Linked DNA regions of Diceros bicornis minor. The main gene of each other region encodes a partner of the protein of the gene in region 2 in a complex. Links are inferred from orthologs where the notes say so. Each region holds a gene or a part of one and is shown on either strand. Other genes may lie near its edges. The genes, in order: LATS2 and NF2.

Region 1 (8,216 bases), on a different chromosome or scaffold from region 2:
TGTTTTAGTAGTCCTTCTCTGTTTCTTTTTTCTTCTCTTGCTCTCTTCCCTTGTGGTTTGATGGCTTTCTTTAGTATTATGTTTGGGTTCCTTTCTCTTAGTTTTTTGTGTATTTATTATAGGTTTCTGGTTTGTGATTACCATGGGGTCCGTACACAGAGTTGATGGTCTCTTTAGTTTGACCTCTGTCTGAAAGCTCTGCTCTTTAACTCCTTTCCTCCCACATTTTATGTTTTTGGTATCATATCTAACCTCTTTTTTGTGCATTTGTATCCATTACATTCTTATCATGGAAATAGATAATTTTTCCTATTTGTGGTCTTCTCTTTTCCCCTTAAATAAGTCCCTTTAGCATTTCTTGTAACACTGGTTTCTTGGTGACAAACTCCTTTAATTTTTGCTTGTCTGGGAAACTTTTTATTTCTCCTTCCATTTTGAATGATAACCTTGCCAGGTAGAGTATTCTTGGCTGTAAGTTTTTTCCTTTCAGCACTTTAAATATATCATGCCACTATCTTCTAGTCTGTAAGGTTTCTGCTGAGAAGTCAGCTGATAACTTTATGGGGTTTCCTTTGTATGTAACTTGTCTTTCTCTTGTGGCTTTTAGAATTCTCTCTTTATCTTTAATCCTGGACATTTTAATTATGATGTGTCTTGGTGGGGGCCTCTTTGGGTTTATCTTGTTTGGTGCTCTCTGTGCTTCCTGTACCTGGATGTCTGTGTCCTTCCTTAGGTTAGGGAAGTTTTCATCTATTATTTCTTCAAATAGATTCTCTGCCCCTTTGTCTCACTCTTCTCCTTCTGGGACACCTATAACACGGATGTTAGTGCACTTGATGTTGTCTCAGAGGTCCCTTAGACTGTCCTCACTCTTTTTAATCCTTTTTTCTTTTACCTGTTCAGCTTGGGTGATTTCTTCTAGTCTTTCATCTAGCTCACTACAAAGTTCTTTATATATAGTTTTGGGGGGAGAATATGGTCCCCATTCTTGTGGAATTTATAATCTAATTAAGAAGACAAAATATATGAGTATAAAACAAAAAAATCAGTGCAGCACATCTTCTTCCTGGTTTTCTAGGCCTTTCATATCCTGACTCTACTCTACTTTTTTGTGTGTGTGAGGAAGATCAGCTCTGAGCTAACATCTATGCCAATCCTCCTCTTTTTGCTGAGGAAGACTGGCCCTGGGCTAACACCTGTGCCCATCTTCCTCCACTTTATATGGGACGCCACCACAGCATGGCCTGACAAGCAGGGCATCGGTGCGCACCCAGGATCGGACTCGGGCCACCAGCAGCGGAACATGCACGCTGAACCACTACACTACCAGGCCAGCCCCTCTAGTCTATTTTTTCACTACTCCCCTTAGAGAACATTCTTCTGTAGTTAGGCAGATTTGCTAAGTCTCCCCCACAGATTATAAAAAAGGAGGCTTTTTCTTTCCAAAATGACAAAAATTGTGTCTAGAGACCAGAGCCTGTTTTCCAGGCACTAAGGTATGAGCCATAATCAGGTTTCTTGCATTCACAGCTTGGCGGGGAAGTGGGGCGTGGTAGGTAGTCTTAGGGTGATATTCCCTAGGGGCCTCAGTGAGAACTGCTAAAACATCCGGGCCCCACAACTGCAGGGGCCTCATTGGTGAGTAGACTCCCTGTGCCTGCAGCCCACAGCCTCTTTTTTCTCTGGTTGGTGCTGGAGACACATGTCTTTGAGCTCCACTCTTCCTCACTCCACAAAAGCCATTCCTCTTCCCTCAAACAAACTATAGGGGAGTTAATTTTGTTTCAGTTTCCTTATTTATAAGTACACTGTAATCATGACTTTTTGAGATTACCTGAAGAGAGCCTTATAATTCAGTGTTGCCTAGCTCTGGAGTCAGATCTACCAAGGTTCAAATCCCAGCTCTTTGATCTTGAGTGAGTTACTTGGGTTCTCTGTGTTATAGGGTCCTTTTCTATAAAATGGGGTTGATAACATGGTTGTCTAGAGGATTAAATGAGATAATACACAAGTTTAGGGCAACACTTGGTTGTAAGGACACACAAACACATACGCATATATAAACATACTATGTTAATCAATTAATTTATACACTGCAACATTGCCACTGCTACAGGCTTTGTGCTCATCTGGCCTTGTGTTATTTCTCTCTTTTCTCCCCTTCTCAGCTGGATGCATTACGTGAATGTACTCATTTAGCTGATTACTTAATTTAGACATAGTTTTTGTTGCTAACTATCCTATTTAGGAATATCAGGAATTATAAGACAAAAATCACCCAGAATGACTATATCCAGAGACTACCACTTTTTTTTGTTTTGGTGAGGAAGATTAGCCCTGAACTAACATCTGTTGCCAATCCTCTTCTTTTAGCTGAGGAAGATGGGTCCTGGGCTAACATCCGTGCCCATCTTCCTCTACTTCATATGTGAGATGCCGCCACAGCATGGCTTAATGAGAGTGGTATGTAGCTCCACACCTGGGATCTGAACCTGTGAACCCCAGGCTGCCTGAAGTGGTGCAAACTTAACCACTACACCACCGGGCCGGCCCCTAGAGACCACCATTTTTAACATTTGGCTGCATACTTTTCTGGACTTTAAAATATATAATATTTTATATTATATAGTATTATATAATTTATAATATATTATTAATATATTTTTAAAATATATAAATATATATATACTGACATTGTTTCACAAAATTAGATGCTATACTCTATTTTGTCATTTGCTTTTCTTCTTGAACACATCTACAAGACTGTTAGCTCCACCAGGGGATAAGTCTTGTGGTTTTGTCCCTAGTGTCTGGTTTAGCCCACGGCTCATAACAGATACTCAAAAAATAAAACAACTCAAAGGAATGAATGACTCCATGTCAATAAACACATATCCCAATAACAATAAACACAATCATTAATCATAATATTCTCCTAAATAAGTGTGTCACATTTTCCCCAGGCAAGCCTCTAATTGGAAATTTACTTGTTTCCAATTTGTTTCATACATATATATTTGAAAAATTTAAAAAGATGTTTTAAAAAAAGGCACAAAGAATAACACAACACACATTATTGAACCTAATCACCCAGAATCAACAAATTTTAAGATTTTGACAGTTTTGCTTCACTTCTTTAAATAAAAAAAAAAGCATTGCAGATAAAGCTGAACTCTTTCTCTCCTCAGTCTAATTTCTCTCCTTCCTTCTACACAGGCAACAGCTGTCATGAATTTGGTGTGTACTTTTGTAGTCCATGTCTCTACTTATATAAAGTATAGGATTAGTATAGGTTCTGCGGGGTTTTGTTTATATATAAATATGGCATCATAGTGTATATATAGTTATGCAACTTTCTTTTTTCTACTCTACAATGGTTTTGAATTCTGTCTACACTCATTTTTTCTTTGAAAAGTACAGAGCTAGTTAGTTCATTCACTTAGCTATTTTATATATTTCATCATTTGAATATCTACCATCTATTTTCCTATTATTCCCTATTGCTGGACATTTAAGTTCTTCCTGATTTTTCACTATTGCAAACAATGCTGTAATGGTTGTTGTAATTACAAAATTTTATTAGGTGTTTACACATAAATTTTAAAGTCCATTAAATTCCTCTTATTTACAATATTTCACTTGACAAAAATGTTTTATTTAATTATGTTCAGATCTTTGAAGACAGAGCAAGGGCAAGATCTTTAAACACACACAAAGGAAGACTGGTAGCCAGCCCTGCGGCTTGGGGCTTGGGTGCAGAAAGTATGGGCAGTGTATAAGGGAAAAGGTACACAGCTGAGTGCAAGGGGGACTCAGTTACAGAATATCTGCTGGAGATTTATACTGCGCAACATGTCTGGGTTGAGCACAGGATACGACTGAAAAAGTAAATTGAATTCCAAACTGCACAATAATGGTTTAATTACCAGAGCTCAAAGAAGAGAGAAAACAGGAGGGAGATCTGAGAAGATTCCCTGGAAGAGCCAAGGCAAAGTCAGGGCTAAAAACCTGGGTGGGATTTAGAAAGGAAGGAGGAGAAGATGGCAGACCAGGGACAGGTAAGGTTGTTAAAACAGTCCGGAGATAATGACCTTATTTACTGTTTCTTTCCAGATTAAAATTTAAAAATTTCACAGGAGTTTATTAATTAAAAAGGAAATTAGGTTGGCTTTTAAATCGATGTTAGTCCTCCTCATCATCTACCACAGACTGTAGGCGGTAGGAAGTATGACGTTAGACGGACAGCCAGAAGTAGATTAAAGATTTGGCTTCCAGTCTGTTATTTCTACTCACATCTCTGCACAGTCCCTGCATACGTCCTTGTACCAAATCCATAGCCCCCAAATGGAAAGACAGTCAGCGGTTGAAACGCAAAAACCAAAATCTCTCTTGTTGGTATACATTCTTATACTGTTCTGTATACCATAAAACACTTCTCATAAACAAAATATACACAGCACTGGGGGTTGATTAAATTAAAACCGATTGAATTTGGGTGTATATTTGACGTCTTTCCATGACTCACGGCTAGCTGTCTGCCCTTTTCGGCACCTATTTGGTAACTTGGTGGCTCCTTCAAGCCTGTTAACTTACTTTCTTCACCAAGGCTGGTGTGAGATGCTTAAGAAAAAAGTGGCTGTAAGACAGAGTTACCAACTTTTAATACAAGTCCAGTCGAGGGGGCAATACTGGAGTTGGGGCCGGGTGACAAACTGGCAAAAAGGTCCGTAGGAGGAGGCGGGGAGGCCGCGGGCAGGTGGCGACGGGCGCGGGCGGCCGCGACCTGGAGGCAGGAAGCGGCGGCCGGGCGGAGCGAGCCGGCCGCCGAGCGGCAAGGGCCGCAGGCGCCCCGCCCGGGCTGGTATGCGGCCGAGAGTGACGCGGGAGGCGGGGTCACGTGACGCCCGTGGAATGCCAACAATGTAGCGAATGTCCCACTTGGGTCTGCGCGTTGGAACAGCGGCGTGAGCGCCCCGGGAAGATGGAGCAGCCGCCGCCCGCGCCGCCGCCGCCCGGGGCTCCCCTGTCCCTGCGGGGCCAGCAGCAGCTCCAGCCACCGGCGCCCGGTCCCCCGGCGCGCGAGGCCCCGGAGCCACAGGCGAGGACGCCCCGGAGCGTGTAGACCGCGCCCCAGGAGGTGAAGGGGCAGGGGCGGGAGCGGGCGGCCAAGGAAGTTTGTCAGGACCGGAGCTCTGCGCCCTGCCCCCACGGCCCCCGCCCGTCCTGGGCCCAGAGCCGCCCCCGCCGGCGGCGCGTCGTCGCGGGCCGTCCGGAGTCCGCCGAGCCGGCTCGCGCGGGCCGGGAGGCTGGGGGCGAGCGCCGGGCGGCAGGGTGCGCCGCTTTGTTGTGCGCTGGGGGCCGGGGGCGGCGAGCGGGGGGCGCCCGCGCCTCCACCGTCCCGGGAGCCGGGCTTCTACCCGAGTGCCCGGCCTCCGCGGTGCCAGCGGGCGGCCCTGACAGCGCCGGGGTCCCGCGCCTGGCCGCCCCGCCTTCCACGGAGGCCGCCCCGTCGTACCCGACTGGCCGCGGCGTCGTGTCCCCACGGAGGCCGCGCCGCTGTGTCCCCTCGGGCGGCGGGGAAGCCGGGCCCGCCCCGGCGTCTCCGTGTTGGCCTCCAGGTCCTCGCGGGTCGAAGCCCGGGCTTCCAGGGGCGCATTCGTGGCCGTGAGAGCGGCGGCCGTTGCATAACGTGCCCGTCCTGCGCCCCAGTCTAGCCGACTTTTCTGGAGGTTGTCTTTTCTGATGCAACTTTACTTGTAGTTAGTTCCGCGGCCGGACTCGGGAGATGCAGATTCCGATAAAATTCGCATTTTGGCAATCACTTCTGCTCCAGCCTTACTTCGGAACTTCAGGACGAGCGTCTGCCTCCGGGTGAAGCCTGGCCTGGGGTCGGGCAGGAGTGCCAGCTCGGAGCAGACCTTTCGTTTGTGGATTCCAAGTCCCCGGTGCCCTGGGGGTGGGGGAAGGGGAAGGCATACCCCCAAAGAAGGTAAAACGCACCGGACGGCGGTGTCACGGGTGTCCTGGGCTGCCGGCAGCATGTTCTGAGGCCCTCGAATGAGAAGTAGTCTTTGCAAGCATAACCGTGAAAAGTACACTTTATTTGTAGATTTTATGTTGACAAAATTTTAAACAACAACTTTTACATTTTCACACCTATGTAGAATATAAGTGAGAGTGTTCTTAATGTAATAGTCATCTAGACTTTTAAAAATTATTTAACCTTGGCTATTAAACCAGGGAGTATACACTTGGCAAGTAAAAATTCAGTGGCCCATCAGCTCTCTTCCCAATGTATTCAGCAAATATGTACATTTTTAAAGGAAAGATTGCCCACATTTTACTAAGAAACTTGAATATACTGAAATTTGAATGGAAAGACAAAATGTGTGTGATCTTCGTACAGGTGTTCTGTTTAAATTTTGACTTAGTAGATGAGGGGCCTTCCCTTAGTAATGGAGAAAGTAACTCGCGGCTTATTATTAGGGAATTTGTACTAAATAGATCTTGCTCCATATTTTTTGTTGATTCTCAGCTTAAATCCCTGTGTGATGGATTACCATTTTTGAGTGCTAAATCAAAATACTAAGTTGCTTGGTATCTTCTAAGCTTTTTGTTTAGCAACTGTTGTAGTAAGGTGGTAACAGAAAAATCTTCCAAAAGAAGAATGCAGAGACTATTTAAGAAGGTCTGTTTTGAATTATAATTAACAAGACGCTGTTATTCAGCATCTCATAAAATTTGGTCTCATTATCCAGGTATATAGAGCACTGTTTAATGAATATGACAGCATTCCCTTGAAATTAAAATTGCTGTACATTTAATAGATCTCAACATGTCAAGCAATTTAAAGTGGCATCCGAACAGAAGATGTCATGCGAAATTATTGAGGTGAATGAATTACTAGAATCACGGAATTTTAGAATTGAAGGGATTCTTTTAGCCTCTCCATCTGTTTTGAAAGTTTTGACTGAAGTGTAAATTGGAGCTGTACATATTTCTTTCTTTCCTTAGCAAATCACAGGGTTGGTGGGAGGGACTTCCCTTTGGTGGGAGGGGAATGTTTTTACAATAAGAAGCCTTGTTATTTTAAATGCTGTGTTGTGAATAGCCAGTCCTAGGCTCCTAAATCCCATTGTAGGGGGGTGGAGAGGTAGGGGAGGTGTTGAAGCTGATAAATTAACCATGAACACGAAGGAAGGATTTGGGGAAGCTTTGGAGCTGTTCTGCTTTGTATTGGAAAAACCAGACCAACACAGTTTTTGAAAAGCTGCTTTTATATTTTATTTCATGGTTATAATAATGTGAAACTTCTAAATAATATTCCTTACTGACTTTTTAAAAATAGTGGGCTTGAAGACATACAGAAGATAAATTTAGTGCATTTATTTTGTCTTAAATGTAATTCTGCTCTAAAAAGGATCAAAATATCCTGATAAACAGAATGAAGAGATTGGTCTTGATAATCCCTGAAGTGACTGACTTCCAGCTCAAAAAATTCTCATAATCTTCCTTTTTAAAAAGCCTGTTGCTTAGTAATTCCTCTGGATAGAACTGGGCCTTGCATGAGTCCAGGGGGTCACCATTCCCATTGTATGCGGAGTGGATGAGCTCTGGGAGGTGGAGCTTCCTCACACAGAGCACCTGTGAATTGCTCCCGAAGTTTGTCGGTGGCCTGCTTGGGCCACTAGTTTCACTAAGTATTAGTCAGCTGTTCTTTCAGTACTTTTAAGGCTAATGTTATTTGATTTACAGTTTCATTTTGAAAGTATTATTAAAATAATGTTGGAAATAGAGATAATGGTTATGATGCTAAAATTAGAATGGAAATTTTACACTGCTTAATGTTCTCATTCACTATATGAAAACTTTATGTTGCTTACCATCTAGACTGTGTCAACCTACCTGTAACAAGTGATTTTTTTTTAAGTTAAATACTTTTTGTTCATGTGCCAGTATTTGACGTTCATAGGAATTTTTCTGGAGGACAAATGGAAAATCTCATATTTTGTAGCAGTGCTTTGTGTTTATTGTTAATTCATTGTGAAGATATTGCGGCATAGCGCAGATCCTATAGCCTCTAAATTAGGATGGTAAGGATCTTAAGAATGGAAGTTGACTTTTGAATGGAGTGGGCCTCTGTTTGGAGTATTGGCCTTACTGTCTCCAGGCTGTTGTCTTGAGCAGGAATGCTAAGGACTAGCATGTTCCATTAC
Region 2 (7,394 bases):
TTTAATCATGCTTTCCTTTAGTTCTGTGAGCATATTTATAATGTATACTTTGAAATTTTTTTGTTAAATCTGACATCTAGTAGCTCTCACAAGCAATTTCTGTTGCTAGATTTTTCCACCGTACGGATCATACTTCCCTGTTCCTTTGCATGCCTCATAATTTTTCATTGGAAACTAGACATTTTAGATAACATATTATAGCAACTCTGAGGACTGCCCCCCCCCGCTCCAGGGCTTATTATTATTATTTGCCTGTTTATTTGTTTAGTGACTGGCGAGACTGTTTTAGTGAAATCAATTTCCCTCATACAGTGTTAAGGCCTATGTTGTTGCTCCTCAGGGAGGTGCATCTCTGGGTATGCCCACAGTCACCCTGGATGACAGTGGTTTTAGCAGGGCTCTGTTCCTCTCCTTCCCTGATCATGCCCAGCTGTTAAACTCCACTCACTGTGGTATATTATTCTATTATTTTCAACAATGCTCAGGGTGTAATTTGCTCTACAAAGTAATCCAATCAAAAGGTGGCTTTTTGAGGAAACAGTTTCTGAAATTAGTGTTTGATATTTGTTCTGACGCCAAGAGGGCTCTTCCCAGTTGTCTTATTCCCTGATTCTCTCCTGCAAACTACTTAGCCTACAGTCTAGGCTGTTATCTTCATTAGATCTACAAAAGTCCTCCCAATTGTCTTTCACCAAAACCTCCACTGTTCCTGAGAGTACCCTTAAGCATAAACTTCTCTGCTTTGTTGCAAATGAAGTCACTACCTTTGGGAAGAGATTAGAAACCAAGGGTTTTAAAGCCTGCTTCTCCCTCCAGGCAAAATCTCTGAGCCCTTGGTGGAAGGGGGGATGGGGGACACACTAAACTGAAGTCTTTTCAGTTTGCCTCTCCTGGCTGGAACTACCATCTCACAAACTGAGGTTAGGGACAAGAACAACTGGGGTCCAGTATTCTCAGTGTGCCACCAGGGTACAGCCCCCATTCCATAAGTAGGAGCTGGGTGGAAGAAGCAAGTTCCATCTTTCAACTTCACACACCCAGGACTTAGCCTCAGCAACAAGTAGCCTTGGGCAAGATGAGAAGCTCTGAAGTCCTGCTCCTCCTGGGAAGAAAGCCACCTGACTGGGAGCCAGGAGTAGAGGGAGCCCTGTGTTCTGGGTTACAGCAGTCTAGAGTGGAATTTCTACCTTGCTGAGCTGGGAGCAGGGAGGGTGGTAGCAGTCTTGGTTCAAAGACCACAAACTCTCACCTTTCTTACCAAATTTTGATAGATTTTCTTTTTTTTGTGAGGAAGATCAGCCCTGAGCTAACATCTGATGCCAATCTTCCTCTTCTTGCCGAGGAAGACTGGCCCTGGGCTAACATCCGTGCCCATCTTCCTCTACTTTATATGGGACGCCGCCACAGCATGGCTTGACAAGCGGTGCGTCGGTGCGCGCCTGGGATCCGAACCTACAGACCCCAGGCCACTGCAGCAGAGCGTGAGCACTTAACCGCTATGCCACCGGGCCGGCCCCTTGATAGATTTTCTTGAAAAGATGTTTCTTCACTTGATGTTTGCCCTTAGGACCATTTCCAGAGGGTTTAAATTACTGTTTTTTCAAATAATTTTTACCAGTTTTACAGGGGACCAGCTCAGTGGAGCTCCTCACGCTGTCCTGATGGAAGCTGACCCTGTCTAAGGCTGCTTTTGTGCTACATGGTAGAGCTGAAGAGGTGTGAGTAGTTGCAACCGATACCCTACAGCTCAAAAAGCTGAAAATAATTACTATGTGGCCCTTTACAGGAAAAGTTTGCCAACCCCTCACCTAGGTCACTGCTGCCAATGCCAATCCATAGACCACCCTTTGAGTAGCAAGGACCTAAACTACTTGAGAGGCAGTACTGTATTGGCTAAGAGCTTGATTCAAAACCTTACTTCACCATTTACTAGATATATGGTTTGGGGTACCTACCTCATTGGGTTGCTGTGAGAATTAAATGTATGAATGCCTGGCACTTAGAAAGTATTCAATACATGATAACTTATCATCATGATAGAAACTCTACAGAAAGTTTCAGACACCATCTCATTCCTCAAACAGTTTTTTTCCAGAAAATTTAAGTTTTGGAAAAGAGAAACAAGTACAGACTTTCCAATAAAATGACATGCAACTTTTAATACCAGGGGTACATAATATTATCTAATGAAGTAAAACCTCTATAGAGCTGGAGCTGAACCTGCCACTGAAAACTAGAATTCGCTACCACGGATGCTTCCAGCCTCTTGCAATAACAATGAATGAAAACCTTCAAGAAGTGCTTCCAAACCCAAAATTGAAAAAAGCAGCAATTATCTTTAATTTGAGGATTTGGGCCTAGATGGTTCCTTCTGGTTCTAGCAGTCTCTACCTATACCCAGAGATGATATAAGCAGAATCCCTCAAGCTTCCACCTCGACTGTCACCGTGGCAAGGGCGCCCGGGTTGGTGGGGCCCGGCGAGAGGATTCTGGGCTACCCCTCTCCGCAGCCCGTCGGGGCTGCCGGCCGGTTACCTCGCAATTGAACTCCATCTCGGCGTCCATGGTAACGATCCGCACGGTGAACGTCTTGGGCTGCTTCCTCTTGAGTGAGCTGAAGCTCATGCGGGAAGCGATGGCCCCGGCCATGGCGCGGGGCTCAGGCCCGGGACCCTCGTGCCCCGAAGCCTGCGCTCTGGGCCTGTTAGCCCCCCTGGAGGAGCCGCACAGGCCTCAGAGCCACCATGGTGGCCGGCCGGCCGGCCCGGGAGCTGTCTGGGTGGCGCGGGCCCCCAGCGGCCAGCATGGACCGCGAGGACCCTGCCCCGGGAACGGAGAGGGGACTTGGGAGGCGGGCCCTGACGGCCGCGGGCAGGGAACGCGAGCGCGGACCGACGGGGCGGGTACGGCCCGGCGCTCCGGGACTCGGGCCGAGGACGCTGGGGACGCCCGTGTATCAGCCCCTAGACAGCGGCGGCCCAGACTCCGGGCGCCTCTCAGCGGCCGACGGAGGTCTCGGGGCCGCGCCGCAGCCGGGCGCGCACGTGCGCGCGTGGCTGTCACCGTCCTCACTCCGCGCACCCGCGGGAAGCGTCCCCTCCCCGCAGCCCCGGGCCTGCTCCCCGCCCCGCCCTCAGGCCCCCCAGATCGCTACACACAGCGCACCCTAACAGGCGGCCTCCGCCCAGACGCCACGGTTGGCTGAGAACTCTGAGGAAGGCGGGACTTTCCCTGCTCCGTCCAGCCTTCTTCAGAACGACTCCACCAATTGGAAGTTCCGCTCTGACCGGCGGCGGAGGCCTGGGCTCGGCGTTGAGTGGCTATAGCGGCAGTCACTCCGAACGCTTTTGTTCGTAGGGGTACGCCTACTCTAGCAAGGCTGGTTGAGGCGGCGGAGCCCGGCGCGCCTTTCCTGGGAAACCGCGTAGAGACTGGTCCAGGGGCGTGGGAGTTGGCCTGTATGGACCGAGTACGCGCCGTGTGTGGCGCCCCAGGACGTCGTGTTTCGGACACCCGGAGGCTAATCCTGTTTGGCATTTAATTAATTACATTTATTGACCTCTATGTTTCTCGAAAACTTTTGAGTCAGTTGTGGAGGCCGCTTAGGTTGCCAGCAGTCTCCTCCAGATCCTTCTGCCTCTCTTTAGGAGAAATATTATTACCAAAGGGGTGGGGGATAAAAATTGTACCTACTTCATGGAGTTGTTGAAAAATTTAAGTGAGTTAATATATATAAAGCTTTAGAACGGTGGCTGGCGCATACTAGGTTGAATCCTATGAAATTGCTGTTTTTGTAGATCAAAAACGGCCGAAAAAGGGAAGCATTTTTTATTTTGTTCTCTGTGGTTTCCATTTTCGAACCATTAACGTGCATTTATTTTTTTTAAATGTCATCAAAGGTTATAACGTGTGTGTATGATGGGGGATTATAACTTTATGTACTTAAAAATAAATTCTAAGATAATTGAATAAAGACAATTTCATGAGTTTTAACTGAACAGTAAGGGCTCCATGAGTGTTAACCCTCATTAGCATCGTCCCCACCCTACAGCTGAAGAAACAGGCTCAGCATGACAGAGCCACTTGCTCCCAGTCACCCAGATAATGAGAGGCCAAGCTGGGACCCAGGGTGATCCCACTGGGTATTACCACTGCACTGCCCTGCTTCCCTGGTTGTGGCTTCCAAATTGCTCCTGTTGCTGCCTGGAGAAATATGAACTACAGTTCTGGAGCACTCAGCAGACACTTGCTGTAACTATGCTAATAGCATAAGTCTGGCTCTTCCCCATGGGCGCCTACAGCACCAGGAAGCACCAGCCAGGCCCCAGGAGTCACTTGCTGGCACGCTCAGCAGGGCTGCTGTGGTGGAACATTATGTCTGTCTACTCACCAAAAGATTGTTCAGGGCAATATGGGCTTGGTGTGGGAGTGTCTTCATTTTCATCGCTTCAGTTCTTACTTGCAGGAGGGAGAATTGGATTCTCCTATAGTCTCCCTACAGGGACAAAAAATCAGGGTTTTAACCCAGGGCCAAGGCTGCTGACAGAAAATAAGAGGCTCTGGGAACCCACTGAGGAGTAGGAAGAGGAGGTGGATCACACAGCAGGGGCTAAAAATGATATTGATGGCCAGTAATAGCTCGCTTTTATGGAAAGCTTACTAGGTGCTAGGCACCGTGCTGATTGGCTAAACATGCCAAATTTAATGTTCCTGGGGGGACATCCAGACCTGGATGTCCATATGGGTCTGAATCTCAGAAGGGAAGCCAGGGCCAGAATTAAAATAGATGTGATGGAATATTATGCTGGCATTAAAAGTGCCATTCACAAAGAATAAACAGAGATGATAATAGTACCTACCAGATAAGGGTTTGAGAAGGAATAATTCAGATAGAGCTCGTTACAAAAGACCTAACACACAGACACCAGTTAAAATAAATATCTATTGAACGAATAAGTGAAGAATGTGAGGAAATACTATGGTCTCAACTATGGAAACAATATTAATAGCTACCATTTATTAAGTGCTTACCATCTAAGGTATTCTGCAAAGGATTTTGCATGCTTTATTTCTTTTGATCTTTATCAAGATCCTATTTGGTACGTATTGTATTATATTCCTAGTTTATATATGAGGAACTTGGATAAAGCTGAAATTAGGTAATTTACCGAAAATCGTAATTGGTAGAACTGCAATTTGCATTCAGGACTGTTTTAATCCAGATCTTACCTGACTTACATTTCATTCCTCCATTCTTCCAGAAGATCAGTGGTTCTCAAAGTGAGGTCCCTTCCCTCCAGGGACATTTGGCAATGTCTGGAGATTTTTTTTCTGGTTGTCACAACTAGATGGTGTGCCTGTCCTCTATGGCTAAAGGCTAAGGATGCTGTTGGGGCTGGCCCAGTGGCGCAAGCGGTTGGGTGCACACGCTCCGCTGCCATGGCCCGGGGTTCGCCGGTTCGGATCCCGGGCGTGCACCGATGCACTGCTTGGCAAGCCATGCTGTGGCGGCGTCCCATATAGAAAAAAGTGGAGGAAGATGGGCACGGATGTTAGCCCAGGGCCAGTCTTCCTCAGCGAAAAATGAGGAGGATTGGCAGATGTTAGCACAGGGCTGATCTCCTCACAAAAAAAAAAAAAAGGCTAGGGATGCTGTTAAACATCCTACAAGGCATAGGACAACCCCGTACAACAAAGAAGTATCCCGCCCCAAGTGTCAATAGTGCCAAGATAAAGAAATCCTGCTGCAGAGCAATGGTTCCTTTTTTTTGAGTCAAAAACAATCTATTGAGAATCCAATGCAACCAGTGGACCCTTTCCTCAAACGAATGCACACATGCACAGAATTTTGCATATTGTTTTAGGAGATTCATGGAAAGACTCATCCAAGCACATCTATGAACCCCAGAATAAATCAGCTCATCCCCCAGATTAAATCAACTTATCCTCAATGCTACATGTGAGTTCTAGATTATGACCCCTCTGCCAAAAACTGGACTCCGTCGTTTTTGGCCACTTGCAGAATTACTTTTACTGCACATTAGCACAAAGACAGTGTCCTGCACTGAGGGTGTTATAAGAAACAGCCCTGAGGAACTCTGACTGTCTTTACAGTAGAGATTTAGCTGACAAAGGTTCACACAGCATCCTTTCTATGAAGACCCATGAAAAAAACAACTCTTATGCCCCAGTACTTGTATTTCTCATGAGAGGCTGATTTGCTTTTTATTTTTTTAATAACTTTTATTGTGTTTTTCCTTCTTTTACAAGTAATCCATATGCATTATAAAAAGGAAACAAAAAACGGCAGATAAGCAGTGTGGTAGGCATAATTCTAAAATGTATCCCAATGACCCACAGCCTTGTATAATACTCCCCCTTGAGCATGGGCAAGACCTACGGATATGATGGGATATTATTCCTGTGATTATGTTACTTTATATGGCAAAAGGGATTTTTGCAGAAGTAATCCCTAATCAGTTCAGTTCATTAAAAGGGAGATTATTTTGGGTGGGGCTGACCTAATCAGGCGAACTCTTAAAAGGAGGTCTAGAGGTCCAGCATGATGGAGAGAGTCAGAGAGATGCATTCCTGCTGGCTTGGAAGAAAACAAATATCCACGTTGTGAAATGCCTACGGGGCCACAGTGGAAGGAACTCTGGGTGGCCTCTGGGAATGGAGAGTGGTCCCCATCTGGCAGCTAGCAAGCAGAGGGACTTCAGTCCTACAACCACAAGCAGCTGAATTCTGCCAACAACCTGAATGAGCTAGGAGGAGAATCCTGAGTTCCAGATAAGAACCGTGATATGGCTGACACCTTAATTACAGCCTTGTGAAACCCTGAGCAGAAGATCATGCTACGCCCAGATTCCAGACCCGTGACACTGTGAGATAATAAATGTAATTACCACTAAATTTGTCATAACTTGTTACACAGTAATAGAAAACTGATACAAGCAGAAGGAAAAACAAATTTTAGCTTGCATAATCCACTGGCCCACTACTTTCATATAGTACATACTTTTTTGTGATTTGCTATTTTCTCATTCATTAATATATTATGAATATTTTCCCATATCATTAAGTATTCCATAATATAATTTTTGAAGAGCTGCATAGGATCCCATGTATGGGTGTAATTTTTTTTCTCTCTTACACACGTTGTGAACCATGTTACCAATCGTGTTTCTTTCTTGGAGTTTGCTGTTAGGAAGCTCAGAGCCAAATTTGAAGTCAGCCTCTGACAATTGTAACTGGCCTTGCCTTATCTTTGGCTTCATCTTATTTTTCCTGCCCTTATGCCTCACTTTGCATTATTTCCCCACCCACTTACTGTTTATTTGTTGCACTAGCTGTATTTCCTTTTATGAAGTTATGGATCCCTTACTTACAGG

Evidence for each region.
Region 1: the proteins of NF2 (region 2) and LATS2 are in contact, whole or in part, in a crystal structure (PDB 4ZRI), measured with the Homo sapiens proteins. The link is inferred for Diceros bicornis minor from reciprocal best matches to the Homo sapiens genes NF2 and LATS2. Residues at the interface, in NP_000259.1 of Homo sapiens: Pro135, Glu136, Ala137, Val139, Leu140, Tyr144, Asn175, Leu176, Tyr177, Gln178, Met179, Trp184, Arg187, Trp191, Glu206, Lys209, Ile210; in NP_055387.2 of Homo sapiens: Tyr73, Ala76, Leu77, Glu79, Ile80, Arg81, Ser83, Leu84, Leu85, Phe87, Ala88, Asn89.

Annotation. Positions count from the first base shown.
Region 1 is NC_080748.1:5,593,532-5,601,747, reverse strand, and holds the start of LATS2 (serine/threonine-protein kinase LATS2), read left to right. Parts: upstream 1-4,970; 5' UTR 4,971-5,137; intron 5,138-8,216. UniProt on the Homo sapiens protein: Negative regulator of YAP1 in the Hippo signaling pathway that plays a pivotal role in organ size control and tumor suppression by restricting proliferation and promoting apoptosis.
Region 2 is NC_080774.1:23,187,511-23,194,904, reverse strand, and holds the start of NF2 (merlin), read right to left. Parts: upstream 3,056-7,394; 5' UTR 2,650-3,055; coding exon 2,536-2,649; intron 1-2,535. UniProt on the Homo sapiens protein: Probable regulator of the Hippo/SWH (Sav/Wts/Hpo) signaling pathway, a signaling pathway that plays a pivotal role in tumor suppression by restricting proliferation and promoting apoptosis.